Lonchura striata: one gene and its partner. The protein of the gene in region 2 purifies or fractionates together with the protein of the main gene of each other region. This does not show direct contact. Links are inferred from orthologs where the notes say so. Each region holds a gene or a part of one and is shown on either strand. Other genes may lie near its edges.

Region 1 (7,381 bases), on a different chromosome or scaffold from region 2:
AGCTGAAGCAAGACTAATTCAGCTTAGAAATAAGGCTCATGTTTCTACCAGGAACTGCAATTAACCCTCAAGCAGCTTTCTAAAGACAGGGATGACCTGCCAGTTCACGGCACCCTCAAAGCCAAACTCCCCATGGAGAGGGCTTGTGTTTTGGCTAATGACTACAGCCACAGAGAGCACTGGGAGGGAGAACCTGAACAGGGCATGGGGCATCCCCATTGACCCTGATCCCTTACTTCCAGCATGGATGACAGCACGGACATCCCTGAAGGGACAAGCAGTCTGTGCACATGGTGAAGGACAGACATAAGTGCCTGAATGTCTGCCTCGACCTCAGCCAATGCTGCCCTGGTCCGCACTGTTCTCTTAGCCCTGTTCCTCTCACTCTGGCCCTACACCAGCCAGATGCTGTGTCACTCACAAACCAGCCTGATGCCCAGTCCCCAAGACCACCAAGAAAACTGGCAGCAGAGGATGTGTTCACTGGGGCTGGTGGAAGGACACAGTCTGTACTCAGACAATACCTTGTCCAGGGGTGGCACGGCTCGGTTTTAGAAGAGACATTGGAGAAGGTGCCTTCTGCACAGGGTTCACAGGGGGATGACATCCGGTCCATGGCCTTGGCTGAAGAGGAGCAGAGATGGCAGGAAGGTCAGTAGGGCTATGGGGGGTGAGGGCCTGAGGGGGCAAGGGGCTGCAGAATCCAGATGTGCGGCACACCCCGTGGCAATGGCACAGCTCTCCCAAAGCCCTGCCAGGGAGCATCATGCTGGGGGATCCCCCATTCCCTGAGGTCAGCGCTGACAGGGTATAAGTTCCGTTGAGAGGGAAGAGCTTGTCAGATTTACCTGCCACGAAGCCAGAGCCAAGCTGGCAAGGCTGGTTCTCCACGCAGGTCTGGCAGGTGGTGTCAGAGCAGTGCGTGCCAGCCCGGCACTGGCACACTGTGTTGTGTGTTGCATTTCCATGCATCTTCACAACAAGGCCAGCATCTGGGCAGAGGGAACATGGACAAGGTGAGACACCATGCAGGGGAGCCAGTCCCCCCAATCCCCACAGGCTGGGGTCAGTGGTCACAGGGAGCACTTACTGCGTTCACAGATATCATGAGGAGCACAGTGCTTCTCCTTGGTCCAGCTTGGCTGATAGTGCTCGCTCTCGCAGGGGGCACAGATGGAGTCTTCTGTTTTATTGCACTCAGAGACCAGCTTTTCCCCTGCAACAGAGGCTCGTGAGGAAGGGGCAAGGGGGCTTTCCCTGTGCTAGCAGGACAGGGGAAGGCTGGCAGCTGTGGATGCTAGGACTGCTGCACTATTCTGTATGGAAGGCAGGGCTGAAGGAGTCAGCCTGATGACCACAAACACTGCAGGGGCCAGATACAGAGGGAGGGCTGTGGCACCACGCCAGCACCCAGGGACTGGGAGATGACCTGACAGTGACAGCAGGAGCTATTGCTAGTGCCAGTGCCAGCACTCTCCCCACAAAGCTGCCTTTGCTGTGAGATCCTGTAGCTGCAAGTGCACAAACAGGCCCAAGAGAGCTGTGGCACATTTGGTGAGATCCAAGGGACCGGGACCCACAAGGTCCCAGTTGCTCTGTCACTGAGATGACACAGGGAGGCGAAGCTGTCAGCATTGCTGGCAGTGAGGTGGAGGGGCTCCATCACACCAAGTGAAGCTTTCTCTGCTGTGCCCAGGCAGTAGGTGCTGGCACAGCCCAATTGTGAGGTCCCTAGGAAAGGGTTTCCATACCTGGCCGACACCGGTTGCAGCATCTGTCCTTGTATATATATTGCTTATCAAAGCATGTTAAGGCACCACCAGGTTCCCAAAACTGGAAGAAACAAGACCTGTGAATTCATATCCAACGCTTCCGCATCACCGCGCTTCCACAGACATGTGTGCTAACCTGCACCCTGAGGTGAGGGCTTCCTCACACCGTTCTTCCCACACCTCCACTAACCACAGACCACAGCAGCCACCCACGCTGCCTGATGCCATCAGTGCTGTCTTTGAAGTGGGGTGACAGTGATTCCGGCAGAGTTGCTCCACATTTCCCCAGATTTCCTACCATAAGGTGATTGCACATCACCCTGTGCCCCTGCCAACAGTACTGCAGTCCCTCACAGAGGGAGCCGAGATCACCAAGCTTTCACACCCAGAGCACTGCCAGCCCCTTCCCTAGGCTGACACACCATCCCTGAGGGACAGGAAAACCCCATTCAAACACAACACTCATGCAAACTTTGCCAGAGCCTGCCCTTGCTCCTCTTGGCAGGGGACTACCTGCACAGGGAAGGGTAAAAAGAAGGCAGGGAATGAGCTCTCGAGCAAGACAGGGTACAAGAGGGCACCCGTTCGTCTCATAGAGCCAGCCCCTCGCTGCGCATCCCCAGTAGTGCCGCAGGTCCCGGCAGACTGGCCTGGCCATCCTGGGGCGCGGGACGGAGCTCCGGCAGGGAGCGAGGGAGAGAGGGCCGGGCCGAGGGTGCCATGCGAGCACCCAGCACGGCCGGGCGCACCCACCCCCGTGGGCACCTCCAGCAGCCCCGGCGCGGGGACTGCGACGAGGCCGCGGCGCCGTCCCAGCCGCCCACATGCAACCGAGAAGTGAAAGAAGCGCCCTGCCCGGCTGGGGGCCCGGCCGAGGGTCCCGGGGCTCGCCGCTGCCCGTCCCTGCCCGTGGGGACCCCCGGGCTAGCGCAGGGCGGGGCTGGGCTGCCGGGCCCGCGCCATCGGAGAAAAGCGAAAGCGCGAGGGTACAAGACCTGGAGAGGGTACCAGGCAGTCCAGACAACTCGTCCGCCCTGCCTGGTCCCGGGAGAGCGGACCGACAGAGCCGACGCGGCAGCGCCGCCCGGTCCCGCTGACGCCGCCCGCGCACAGCCCCGGGGCTCCCCGGAGGGGGCGGCTGCGCCCTGGGACGGGCCGGAGCGGCCGGACCGTGCCCCTTCCCGGAAAGCCCAGCGAGACACAGAGATGGAGGGATCCCCTCCGCCCCTGTCCCGCTCCATGCCCCGATCCCGGCCCCACTCACGCCCAGCAGCGCCGCGCAGAGCAGTCCCAAAAGCCCCAGCCGGTTCATGGCGCTGCGCCCCGGCCGCCGCCGCCGCCCTCCTAAGAACGCCTCGGTCCGTTCCCGCCCAGGAAGGGGCGTTGGACCGCTCTGCCCGGGGCTTCCCCGCCAGCCCCGGCTGGGGACAGCTCCCGGCCGGCCCCTCCGAGCCCCGCGCTGCCACCGCCGGGAACCCCCGGCCCGGAGTCACGGCTGCAGTCAGGAACAGGGGCAGGGACAGTGGCAGGGGTCGGCCGCCGTCCGCGGGAAGGAGATGAGAGGGGAGGGGAGCGCCTGTGCAGCCCCCCATCCCCGTCCCCCACCCCCCCAGGAGCTCCAGGTTTCACTTCTTCTTTCCAACAGTAGCTCAGAGAGTTTTTTGGTTTTGTTTTGGTTTTTTTATTTATTTATTTAGCCTTTAAGAGCCCCTGAGCTATCGCCCTGGAGAGCCCCCACGGCTGTGGTCAGGAAGAGCCCCTCTGGCTGCAGCCCTGGAGAGCCCCCCACAGCCGCCAAGAGTCCTGAGCTGCGCGGAGTGTCCCCGCAAACACGTCAGTCCTGAAAGGGAAGGGGCAACCGTGCTGTGACGTTGATGTACCTTCGTCTCAGTTCCCCAAAGGGCTTCCCAGCAACCGCCAAGGAATTTCCAGGATCCCTGCCCGCTCCGGAGACGTTCCCTGCACTTCCCTTGGCATTGCGGTGGCTGGGCAGCGAACGGCGGCTCCTCAGCGCCTCTCGGTGCCCCGGTCACTTGCGGCACTCCTGCCGCCACGGTGCCGCGGTGCCCGAGCGGACACACCGCCGCAGCCGCCTGCCCGGGCACGGCCCCGGCCCCAGCAGGAGGTGGTGGCCACAATCGGCCATCGCCAGGGCACAGCTGCTCCCGGCAGAAGGGCAGCGCGCTCCCCGCGGGCAGCGGGAATTGGGAACCGAGCGCTCTGGATTCCCCGGCCCAATGTCACTTCCCAGAACTGACTCACTCGGGAGCACGAAGGGTCCCTGGGGAATCTCGAGGGCGAAGGGGGCGGCTGCGGAGAGAAGGGGATTTCTGGGCCCGACTCCTGTGGACCTGGCCTGGGAAATCCCCGCGGCGCCGGGCACTGCCTGAGCAGGTTCTCCCGTGGCCACGGGCTGTGAGCGCCTCTTGCTCCCGGTCCCGGGCGGCAGCGGGGGCCCGTGCTCCCGCTCGGCAGGAGCTGCTCAGGTGGGAGCCCCTACGAGAGCCCCCGACCCCGCTACCCGCAGAGCGGGACAGAGTACCGGGGCAGCTGCTGCTCGGGGCGGCACCGGCGCTAGGGGTGCAGCACGGGAACGCTGCCCCTTGAACGGGGCAAGGACACTCCGGTCCTGGCCCTGGCCCCGGCTCCGGTCTGATCCCAATCGCGGTTCCAGTCTCAGAACCTGTCCTGGTCTGATCCCCACCCCGGTCCCGATCCTGACACCGGTCCCGGTCCCGTTCAAAAGCCCCATACGGTCCCTGTCTGACCCCGACATCTACTCCTGTCTCAACAGCAGTCTGATCCCGATCCTGATCCCTGTCTCAGTCTGATCCTGATCCTAATCCTGGTTCCTGTCCTAGTCTGACCCTGATTCTGGTCGCTGTCCCAGTCTGATCCCGATCCCAGTCCCTGTCACAGTCTGATCCCGATCCTGATCCCGGTCCCTGTCCCAGTCTGATCCCGATCCCAGTCCTTGTCACAGTCTGATCCTGATACCAGTCCCAATCTGATCCTGGTCCCGGTCCCGATCCCTGTCTGATCCCAATCCCAGTCCCGGTCCCTGTCCCAGTCTGATCCCGATCCCAATCCCGGTCCCGGTCCGATCCCGATCCCGGTCCCGGTCCTATCCCGATCCCGGTTCCTGTCCCAGTCTGATCCCCGTCCCTGTCTGATCCCGATCCCGATCCCGCCGCCTCCCCCGCGCGAGGTCCGAAAGCGCCACCCAGCGGCCGCCTGGCCTCCTCGGCACTACAACTCCCGGCGTGCCTTGCAGCGCCGTGCCGCGGGACATGCCGGGAGCCGGGGCAAGTGGCCTTTGCCTCGGCAGGCATGGCGGTGCGCCGCCGCGCCGTAAAGCGCGCTACATCGCCATAGCAACCGTGCTTCCCCCTCCTCCTCCTTGCGACGGCGCCGTGCGGTAGTGGCGGGTGGCGCCTTTGTCCTGGCGGCGGCGGCCTGACGGGGCACCGGGACCGGGCCGGGAGCGGCGGTGAGTCTGCGGGCCCGCGGCCCCGCTGCGCGGAGCGCCCGAGCGAGAGGCTACCGGCAGCGAGCCCCGCTGAGGGCCCGGTCCCTCCCGGCTCTCGGCTGAGGCCGGGCCGGGCGTGCCTCGCGGCCTGCGGGCGGGCCGCGCCTCCGCCTCGCGTCCGGGCAGCGCGGGATCACCGGGATTCGGTGGGGCCGCCCCGCACCCCCGGAGTAGCCGCTGTGCGGGTGAGCGGCGCTGGCAGCCCCGGGCGGAGGTAGGGGGAGCACGGGTGGGAGCGGCGGCCGCCGGGGAAGCTCCCGGCCGGGGGTTCCTCCCCGCTGCCCCGGGAGCTGCGGCGGGGCCCGGGGCAGGGGCCCGGGGCAGGGGCCGGCCGGGGCGCGCTCTGACGGGGGGAAGGCGGAGGCGCTCTCCGGGTTACCGTGTGCGGGGGGCCGGGCCGGGCGGTGCCAGCGCTGCCCCCGGAGGGCCCTGCTGGCGCTGGGGAGAGCGCGGCTCCGCTCCGAGGGAAGCTCCTGCCCCGGGGGAAGCTCCCCGCTCCTCGGCACCTCTGCCCTCCGTGCCCGCTGTTTCTGCTCTGCCCCTGAACTTGCTGGAGACTTGTGCGGAGTTTCGCTTGTGGCAAATCAGATGCAATGTCCCACTCCAGCAGTCTTGCTTCCTTGAGGCTGTAGCGCTATTAATAAACGACTCTGGTTTTAAATATAAGATTTTTAGAGAGATGTGGCTTTAATTGATTTCCAGAGCGCTTGTGGGCTCATGAGGTGCCGTGGGCTGTCCTGTGGTAGGACCCAGAGTTACTGCGCGGGGAATTGGCACCTTTAAAGTGCCCCGGTGCCTCTCTGGCTGCATTTGTACAACAGGACTTAATGTGGGAATTAGGTGTTCACCTGACGTAGCGTGCCCAGAGGTGGGACAACATTCATTTATTCTGGTCTTATGATCACTAAATGGCCCTTAACTATGTAATCTGCCATGTGGAAAAGGGTAAGAGGCAGTGAATTATCTTAGATGAGAGTTCTGGGATAACTCATCTGATTTACTGATTGTTTTGAAGTTGGAAAATGGCTCTCTGGTTTTCTTAACGTGGAAAGTTCTTGCAGCCTCTTCCTCAGACACCCCCTGCTATCCCCACCCCGAAGGAACACGAAAGGGAATTTCTTACAGCTTTTTGTACTGAAAGTGAGCTGTCCTGCCAGCAGCTACAGGCATGTGTGACACCTGTTTGCTGTGTGTGCCTGTGCACTGCATTCTGCTCTGAGTGGGATCTCGAGCTAGATGGTGTTTTCTATATTTTATTGCCTCTTATTCATTTTGAGGAAATTTTGAAAGCTTCTGTACCCTCAACTGATGAGAACTTGAGCTGCAGTAGTGGAATAGAAGTCCAGTGCTTTTGCATTAAAAAAATGGGATTTGTTACTACTCATGGGGAAGATAAAACTGTGTATGTGTGTGGACAAACTTGGAGGGGGACTGGGGCAAATATGATAGAGGAGATTAATTTTGTTGGATTTTGTTTTGGGTGTTGAGTTTGTTTTCCTCACCCCGGTTCTGGCAGTTAATTATTAGACAAGGAAGCGTTCTCTGCCCCCCATCTCTGGAGGGTTTCCTAAAAAGGGGCAAGAGTGATACAAATCTGAAATTTATTGATCTTTAAAGGATAAATAAATACATTTTATGTCTAAGATCTGAGTAGATGTATTTTTCATGCCAGTTAAGTATTCATATAGAGTCGTCTTATCTATTTTGATATTTGATTTATTTATTTAGAGATGACTTTTAAATTGTATTTACTCCAGGGGACTGTTAGGGAGTATCTTGGTTATAGGCATTGCATTATTAAAAAGATAAGTTTCTGTTGATACACTCAATTTCATCATCTTTCTTTTTCCAAGCTTCTTGCATGTTACAATCAGAAAATCCCATCCTGCATTTCTGTGGGTGAATGTTTAGGAAGTAGAACAACTTTATTAAATAATTTTCAAACTTTGAGTTCACCTTGAAAGTTTCAGTGTTATTAATTTATCTAAGCTTTATCTAAAGGTGAATTTTAAGCCAGAAGGTCTGAATCCCGGGGATGGTGGGTTTTTGTTAGCCTTGGCAGTGTTTGTTTTTTGTTAGT
Region 2 (6,939 bases):
ATTATCCTTCTTCCCCTACAGCCAGGCTAGAGCTTGCCAAGGGCTCTGGTTTGCTTTTTTGTGCATCAGCATTTGTTGCTGAGCTCATGCACCCAGAGCCTTGCTTAGCTACCTACTGTCACAGCTTCACACAAAATTCCTGAGCCCTGAAATGGATGAATTCTAATCTGGAAAAAGAAAAAAGAATGCAGGGCTGTTTTGTGACTACTGGGGCTCAGCCTCATGCCAGAGGCCTGTCTCTGAGCCCTGGCAGTCCCTGTGCTTTATTCACTGCTGCAGTTCAGGCTCTGGGCTGCCTCTCAATTCCACAGGCAGCTGGATTTCCCCAGCTAGAAAATGCTACTCGTATAGGAGGGTCTCTGGTGTTGGGAAAGGGCTGCAGGGGTCCCAGCACACCGCTCCTGGCACCACACATGGCCTGGGCCATCACTGTTCCTGGGACAGGCTTCCAGGAGAGAGTGGCAATGCAGAAGGGACCTGCAGCTTCCCTGGAGGCCCTTTGGACACCCAGAGCTGCCATGCTCTGTTAGCAGCAGCTCAGGCACAAGTGTGTGGAGCTGCTGACAGGTCTTGGGGTGACTTGGGTTCCGGGGCTGTGGTGCTACAGCCCATAGTCCCAGTGACAGTGGAGAAACAGCTTTGTGTCTTAAACAGAGAGGACTAGCTACGGTTGATCACACAAGTGCTCAAGTGCTCCCTCAAATTCCCATGCCTCCCAAAAGGAGTGCAGCCACCAGCTGAGCTTTGTCTATGACCTCATATATATCCAGTGTATAAAACACATTCCACATATTGAACATTTGCATATGTTACATGTCTTTTGTTCCACTTGGGTGGCCTTTTCCTCCCCTCCCCCCATGACTCATCCACACAGCTCCCATCACATTATTCTGGACGTGTCATTTCTGAAGGACTACACATCCCTGTCCTGCAGAGAATGGGGGCTCTGTTAATTGTCAAATGTTGAGTGGGTAATGATCAATGGGTGACTAATTGGATGCAAGAGGGAATAAAATAGGTATTACTTAGCTTCTGCTCTTAATTAAGAGGATACATAATGCTGTGGGGAAAATCTTAACAAATGGCAGGAGGTGTTTTTGTCATTATGCAGGGTTTAATTACATGCATTGCACAAGCCAACATCCAGGTACTGTTTTCTTTCCTTTCAGGTGTCTCTCCAGGGTGTGACTGAAAATTGACAAAGCAAGAGCCTTAAAATAAAATAAGTGGAAAATATTTTCGCAGGCATGTGCCTAGCAATGTAAACAGCAAGACATAGAAGAAAGTCCCGGTTTTCCTCACAGTGCAAAAGCAGCAAGGGACATGCAGAGAACCAGAGTGAGACCAGTGCATTATGCTGAGGCAGAGGGGGTTAAAGGCTCACTGCAATGTCTCCAGGTTAATTCACAGCACCAATGTTAAAAGAGGAGTAACATGACAGTGCGCTATTTAAACAGTTAATAATTTGGAAGCAAAAATATTCATTATTTATTTCTCCAAAAACAGAGATGTGGTAAGAAATATGAGACGGGGCACTCAATACCAACATTTTCTTCCTAATGAAAAAAGAAATATTACAACTCCTGCCGGATAAGGAATGGATTTTAAAAAGAAAAAAATGGTCCGTGTTACTTGCCTTGACAAAGAAAACCATCCTGCACTTGAATCTGTTCTTTCTATGACAGGCCCAATATGACTCATCACGTTCTGCTTGTAAATAATGTACAGATGAGATTCTAACTTTAGAGAGTTCAGAGTTTTATCTGGCTTTCAGTGAGTGAAGTCAGTAGGGTAGGAAGACTTCAAATATATAAAGGAGGCCTTCAGAAGGCAATTATGATGGCTTCAGTTTTGGGGATGAGGGAGGTTTTTGAAATGCTAAAATTAACTTGGGTATCTATTGTCCAAGTTTCCTAATCCAAAAATGAGTTAATTGACAACAGTTTCTACAGCTTTGTGGGAGTGTACTGAGGTTTGGGCTGGACCTTTGAAACCCACTCAGCAGACAGTGCTGTTAACAGATTCAACAGAGTGTGACTTTCAAGCTATTTTTCCCCTCTTTGTCTAAAGTACATAATTCTCAAGAGAAAGGAAACTGCTCCAAATATCTGCTGTTTTCTGGGGCTTGGCAAGTTAAAGAGGGGACAGAGACTGGTTCTTTGGCCGCATCTGCAGACATCATTAGATCTCTGCATTTCTGGAGCTGAAGTGACAGATCTCACAACCAGAATGTTCCTCTCCTGGACAACCGACAGCTGTCTACAGGGGTGGCAGGTGGACACTGTTGTTTGCTGGATGTTACAGACCAGTGTCCAGGGTTTGACCAGCGGAGAACAGAGGACTGTCCATACCCATTGTCAGTGAGGGAGGCCATCCACGGCGTGAAGAGAGGTGCTTGATGGCTCCATAGCAGAACCTTTTATAAAGAAACCCCACAGATGTGGGTATTGATGAAGCATTCCACGGGACACTCTGTCTGCCAAGTCCCCATGCTGCTTGCATTCCCTGAGGAGCTGGTCGTTGCACAGCAAACACTACATACATCCCTCACACACATCCCAGGAAGGTCAGGTGCTCCCCAGAGCAACTCTCCCTCCCTGCTTCCATCCTGTCAACATTCAACAAGGTCCTGATTTTGGCTCCTGTGTGGCCGTGGGCCCCTCACCGCCCTCACCCACTGTGGCACACCAGTGGCAGTGGAGCCATCACTGCTCCTGAGCTGGAGGCCGGTGGGAAAGCCGGCAGGAGAGGCAGCCACCCAAGCCCAGTGCGGTGCAACTCGGGGCTCAGGCAGCCTTGAAGAAAATGCCGGCTGTCAGGGTGCTCATGGTGCAAAACAGCTGTGCAGCAGAGGCCAGGCCAGAGGGATTAAACCTTCAGCTGTGGTCATAATGCAGCCACTCCAGCCGTAAGCATCTAGTGCTCATCACATCTGGGGCTGGCTGGGAGCAGCAGGGACTCTCCAGGGAGTCTGGCAGCGGTCAAGGACAACTTCAGAGTGCTCCAAAAGGGAGCCCTGGTGTCCTGCTGGCCTTTGCCTTGGCACAGGAGGCAGAAAGCGGGGAAGGAGGGGGTCAGGATGGCCAGTTCCAGGGCCAGACTGATGTGGGATTTCTCACCAGGGAAGGTAAGCCCAGGCTGCAGGGCATCACTGCACTGCCATCAATACAATCACACTTAGTGCTCAGCTGGGGGCACATCCTGCTCCCAGCTGCCTGAAGGCAACTTCCAAAAATGTGGGCAGTCATTCCGTGATGAGAGGAGATAATTGCCTGGGTCACTGCTTTGCCTTTGGACCAGAAAGAGGGGCTGGCAGAGTGGCGGGCGTGCAGAGAGAGCCCTTCCCGAGGGCAGGAATGCTGGGTATGTGCCCCCTTCCTCGGCCCCCCGTGTCACTGGAGGGGCACAGGAAGGAGCAGCGGTGGCACTGCCAGAGCTCGGAGCTCGGGGGTGGTTTCCATGTCCCTGTGCCAGGCAGACCTGCCAGGCATCCAGGCAGCCGCGGTGTCCGCCTGCGGCCACCCGGAGGGTGGGGAGCCGTGCCAGAACGTCCTCCTAGGGTGAAACTAAGAAAATGAGGCTGGAGATCACGAAGAGCTTCTCGGCAGGGAGATGCGCTGCGTGGGGGTCAGGACAGTGGCGTGGCCTGGGATAAAAGCGGCCAGAGCGGCTTTCCTGGGGCAGCTCACCGGGCATCTCCGGAGCTGGGAGAACACAAAGTTTCAGCTTGTAGGAAAAGCGATTTTCTGGTCCTTGAGAGTGTAGAAACTTGGAAGTGTCTAGAAAGCTAATATAAAAGAAAGAACCAGTCGAGAAATCCTTTTATTGTTCTTTATATAGTTCTCACACGCGTCATGTGATTCTCTTCGACCGTCTGAATCACAGCTGATTTACCATTTGGCCCTGACAGCAAGCGGCCGAGGGCTGAAAGCAAGGGATGGCTTTCGCGGCGAGGCGCACGGGTTAGGAATCACGCCGGGGTTGCCCTGCGCCCTTCGGCCGCGGCGCTCGGGCAGAGCCGCGGCACCCACGGGCGCGGCAGCGCGGCAGGCACGGCCGGGAGCCGCTTCCCGGCGCCACCGCGCCGAGCCGGCCTGCGCTTCCACTTCCTGCTGCAGGCCAGTTCTGCCGCTCACCTGGGAGAGGCTGGGAGCGTGTCGTAAAAGGAGGGAAGGCCGCCCGGCCGGCTGAGGAAGGAGCCCCGGGCGCGGCGGGAGCGGGAGGCGCAGCGCTCTCGCTGTCCGGGGCAGCCCAGCGCGAACCCCTCGCCCGCAAGGTAAGCAGGGTCAGCGGCGCCGCCTCCCTCGGCCCTGCCGCCCTCGGTGCTGACCCGCGCCTGCCTCTCGCCGGGCTAACCCCCCAAAATTGCTGCCTCGCTCGCTTTCTCCCCCTCCTCGGAGCATGGGAGCCCGGCTTTCACAGATGGTTACAAGGTGTTTCAGCCATTTCGCTGCAGTTTGTTTTGTTTGTTGGTTCTTGTTCTTTTAATTTTTTTAAATCAGGAGGGGTTTGGGGTAAACACAGGGGACGGACACGCCTGGTGTCGAAATGTTGTCCTGCCTATTTACGTAGTTTCCTGGCAATGAGTGGCGGCCAGGCCTGATCCCGATCCCGCCCTGTCCGGTTCTGCAGGCTCAAGGTGGTGTGTTGGCCGATGGCCCTCTCCTTTTCCCTCTCACTTTCCCTCTCACTTTCCTTTCCCCTCCCTTTCCCTTCCTTTTCCCTTCCCTCCCTTTCCCTTCCTTTTCCCTTCCCTCCCTTTCCCTTCCCTTCCCTTCCCTTCCCTTCCCTTCCCTTCCCTTCCCTTCCCTTCCCTTCCCTTCCCTTCCCTTCCCTTCCCTTCCTTTTCCCTTCCCTTCCCTTCCCTTCCCTTCCCTTCCCTTCCCTTCCCTTCCCTTCCCTTCCCTTCCCTTCCCTTCCCTTCCCTTCCCTTCCCTTCCCTTCCCTTCCCTTCCCTTCCCTTCCTTTCCCTTCCCTTCCCCAGCTGACCCGGGGCTGCATAGGACAAGTCCATAGACCTGGTGAGGGAGAGGTGGCTGCAAGGTGTGAAGAAAACAGGATCACAGATGCTTTTTGCCCCATCCTCTATATAGCCTTGGCACAGAAACAAGTGGGAGCAAGGTGGTAGTATTTCTTTTCTATTAGGATAAAACCTGCTTCCATATAAAACCCGTTCCCATTTCACCCAGTCTCAGGATACAGGTTTTGTAGGGTTAGCACTGGCTGGGCGCTGAGATTGGCACATCTGAGCTTACTGGTCCTCAACCACCACCAGTAACGCTGAGACCAGAAATTCCCATTCCCTGCAAGCCCTGGGTGGGTTCAAGGCCTGGACTGGCCACACCAGTGCCCCACCATGACCAGCTGCTGCTGTGACATCTATGACAGGTGATTCCAGAGACAGGGATGCGAGGGGCACGTGCGGCTGGGCCAGGGTGGGTGAGTTGCTGCCAGTGATGCTGCTGCCTGCAGTGCCATCAGCCTCTGAAACCAGCCTTGTCCTTGCAGAATGCTGGCAGTGCCTGGAAGCATGCTGTATATATATTTTTTTTTTAAATTATTTTCCGATGGAGTTGAGTTTTCTTTCTGTTTTCCTAAGGCAGGAAGCAAGGCATGTGCAATTATGGTGTTCGTGTCTGTCAGTGCCCCCCACCCCCAGCAGTGGCTTTTGAAGTTTGGCAGAGGGTACATGTCTGAAAGATACACACATTTCTGCACGTTTCATGACTGCAAGTGAGCGAGGCTGTTCTCACGCCAGCCGAGGGAGACACGTCAGGTCCCGCAGGCTTCCCTCAGCCTCCTGCCGCCCACGCTCCCGCAGCCCTCGTGCTGCAGAGCAGGGAGAGTGGCTACGGATGGGAGAGACATCAGCCCTGAGAAATACCAGGGGCTCTTTGGGAGCCACAGTCTTCGATGTAAGGCATGAAGCTGTAGCAAAGCAGGCTGAAGAAATTGATGCTTTTCAGGGTGATCCCTCCATCCCACCCCACTGAGACAGCCCCAGTTTGGTGACAGGAGTTTTGGATGTCCCCGAGCCCTGGGATATCCCAGGCTGGGGGTTCTTAAGTGCCTGTGAGAGTTTTGTCAGCACCAAAAATGGGTGGGAAGTAGCCTCTGGAAAACAATCACATTTTTAAGGATACTAAAGATAATTGTAGACATTTTCATATTTCACAATGTTTAGAAAGCTGGCAGGGAATGCTGCCTATATCTGAGGTGCCTGTTTGGACCCTGCTAGAGGGGTGTCACCCTTCTAGTTTCTTACTACTTACTGCCAGCATTCCTTCAACATGTATATCAATGTCTACACTAAAAAGGCAAAAAATACCAGGTCTGCTCTAGCCTTTGCACTGTGGATTGTCCACTGAAGCAGCATTAGTGGTGCAAAAAAGAATGTGAAGTTTGCTGTGCAGACAGGGTTTGAAGTATGTTCTCTTGGCACATGTAGATTTTCCTGCCATGGCTTCAGAAAGTACATGAGAGCAACCATATAGCCAGAGGAACATACTATTTTTCTAATTTTTCCAGAAGTCATGAAAATAAGCATTACCTGCCCTAGAGGGCTAAAAGTCTGGACTAGGAATGTGACACATGTCCTTAGTCTTTGCTGTGGAGGGTACCCAAGGGAGAGGGGAGCATCTGTGATGACAGCAGCCGAAATTTCTCACGGTGAAGTGCAAAATTCTGAAGCTTGGATTTCCTTGGCAGTGCTTATTTAAAGTGTAGACCCAAACCAGTTCCCACATTTGTACATGCTCCTCCTGTAAGGATTTCTCTCTGGTTTTTTGTGAGGAAAGTTATGTCTAGTGTTTCTGTAGAGAAAGCTGCACTTAGAGCAAGTGCTCTTGCACACTTACACTCATCTCACCCTGTGGCAACAGCATTCCTTGAGATCTCAGCATGTGCATCCTCACAGCAGCTTGCAGATTCTGCATCCAC

The links. The genes of interacting proteins can lie anywhere in the genome.
Region 1: the proteins of TRAF3IP2 (region 2) and CD40 purify together in Homo sapiens (affinity purification with western blotting, with the first as the bait; 3 studies listed by BioGRID). This does not show direct contact. The link is inferred for Lonchura striata from reciprocal best matches to the Homo sapiens genes TRAF3IP2 and CD40.

What each region holds. Positions count from the first base shown.
Region 1 is NC_134619.1:8,306,309-8,313,689, reverse strand, and holds the start of CD40 (tumor necrosis factor receptor superfamily member 5), read right to left. Parts: upstream 3,085-7,381; coding exon 3,037-3,084; intron 1,834-3,036; coding exon 1,752-1,833; intron 1,217-1,751; coding exon 1,091-1,216; intron 993-1,090; coding exon 849-992; intron 625-848; coding exon 525-624; intron 1-524.
Region 2 is NC_134605.1:68,416,640-68,423,578, forward strand, and holds the start of TRAF3IP2 (E3 ubiquitin ligase TRAF3IP2), read left to right. Parts: upstream 1-3,899; 5' UTR 3,900-4,276; intron 4,277-4,592; exon of another isoform or gene 4,593-4,639; intron 4,640-6,939. UniProt on the Homo sapiens protein: E3 ubiquitin ligase that catalyzes 'Lys-63'-linked polyubiquitination of target protein, enhancing protein-protein interaction and cell signaling. Transfers ubiquitin from E2 ubiquitin-conjugating enzyme UBE2V1-UBE2N to substrate protein.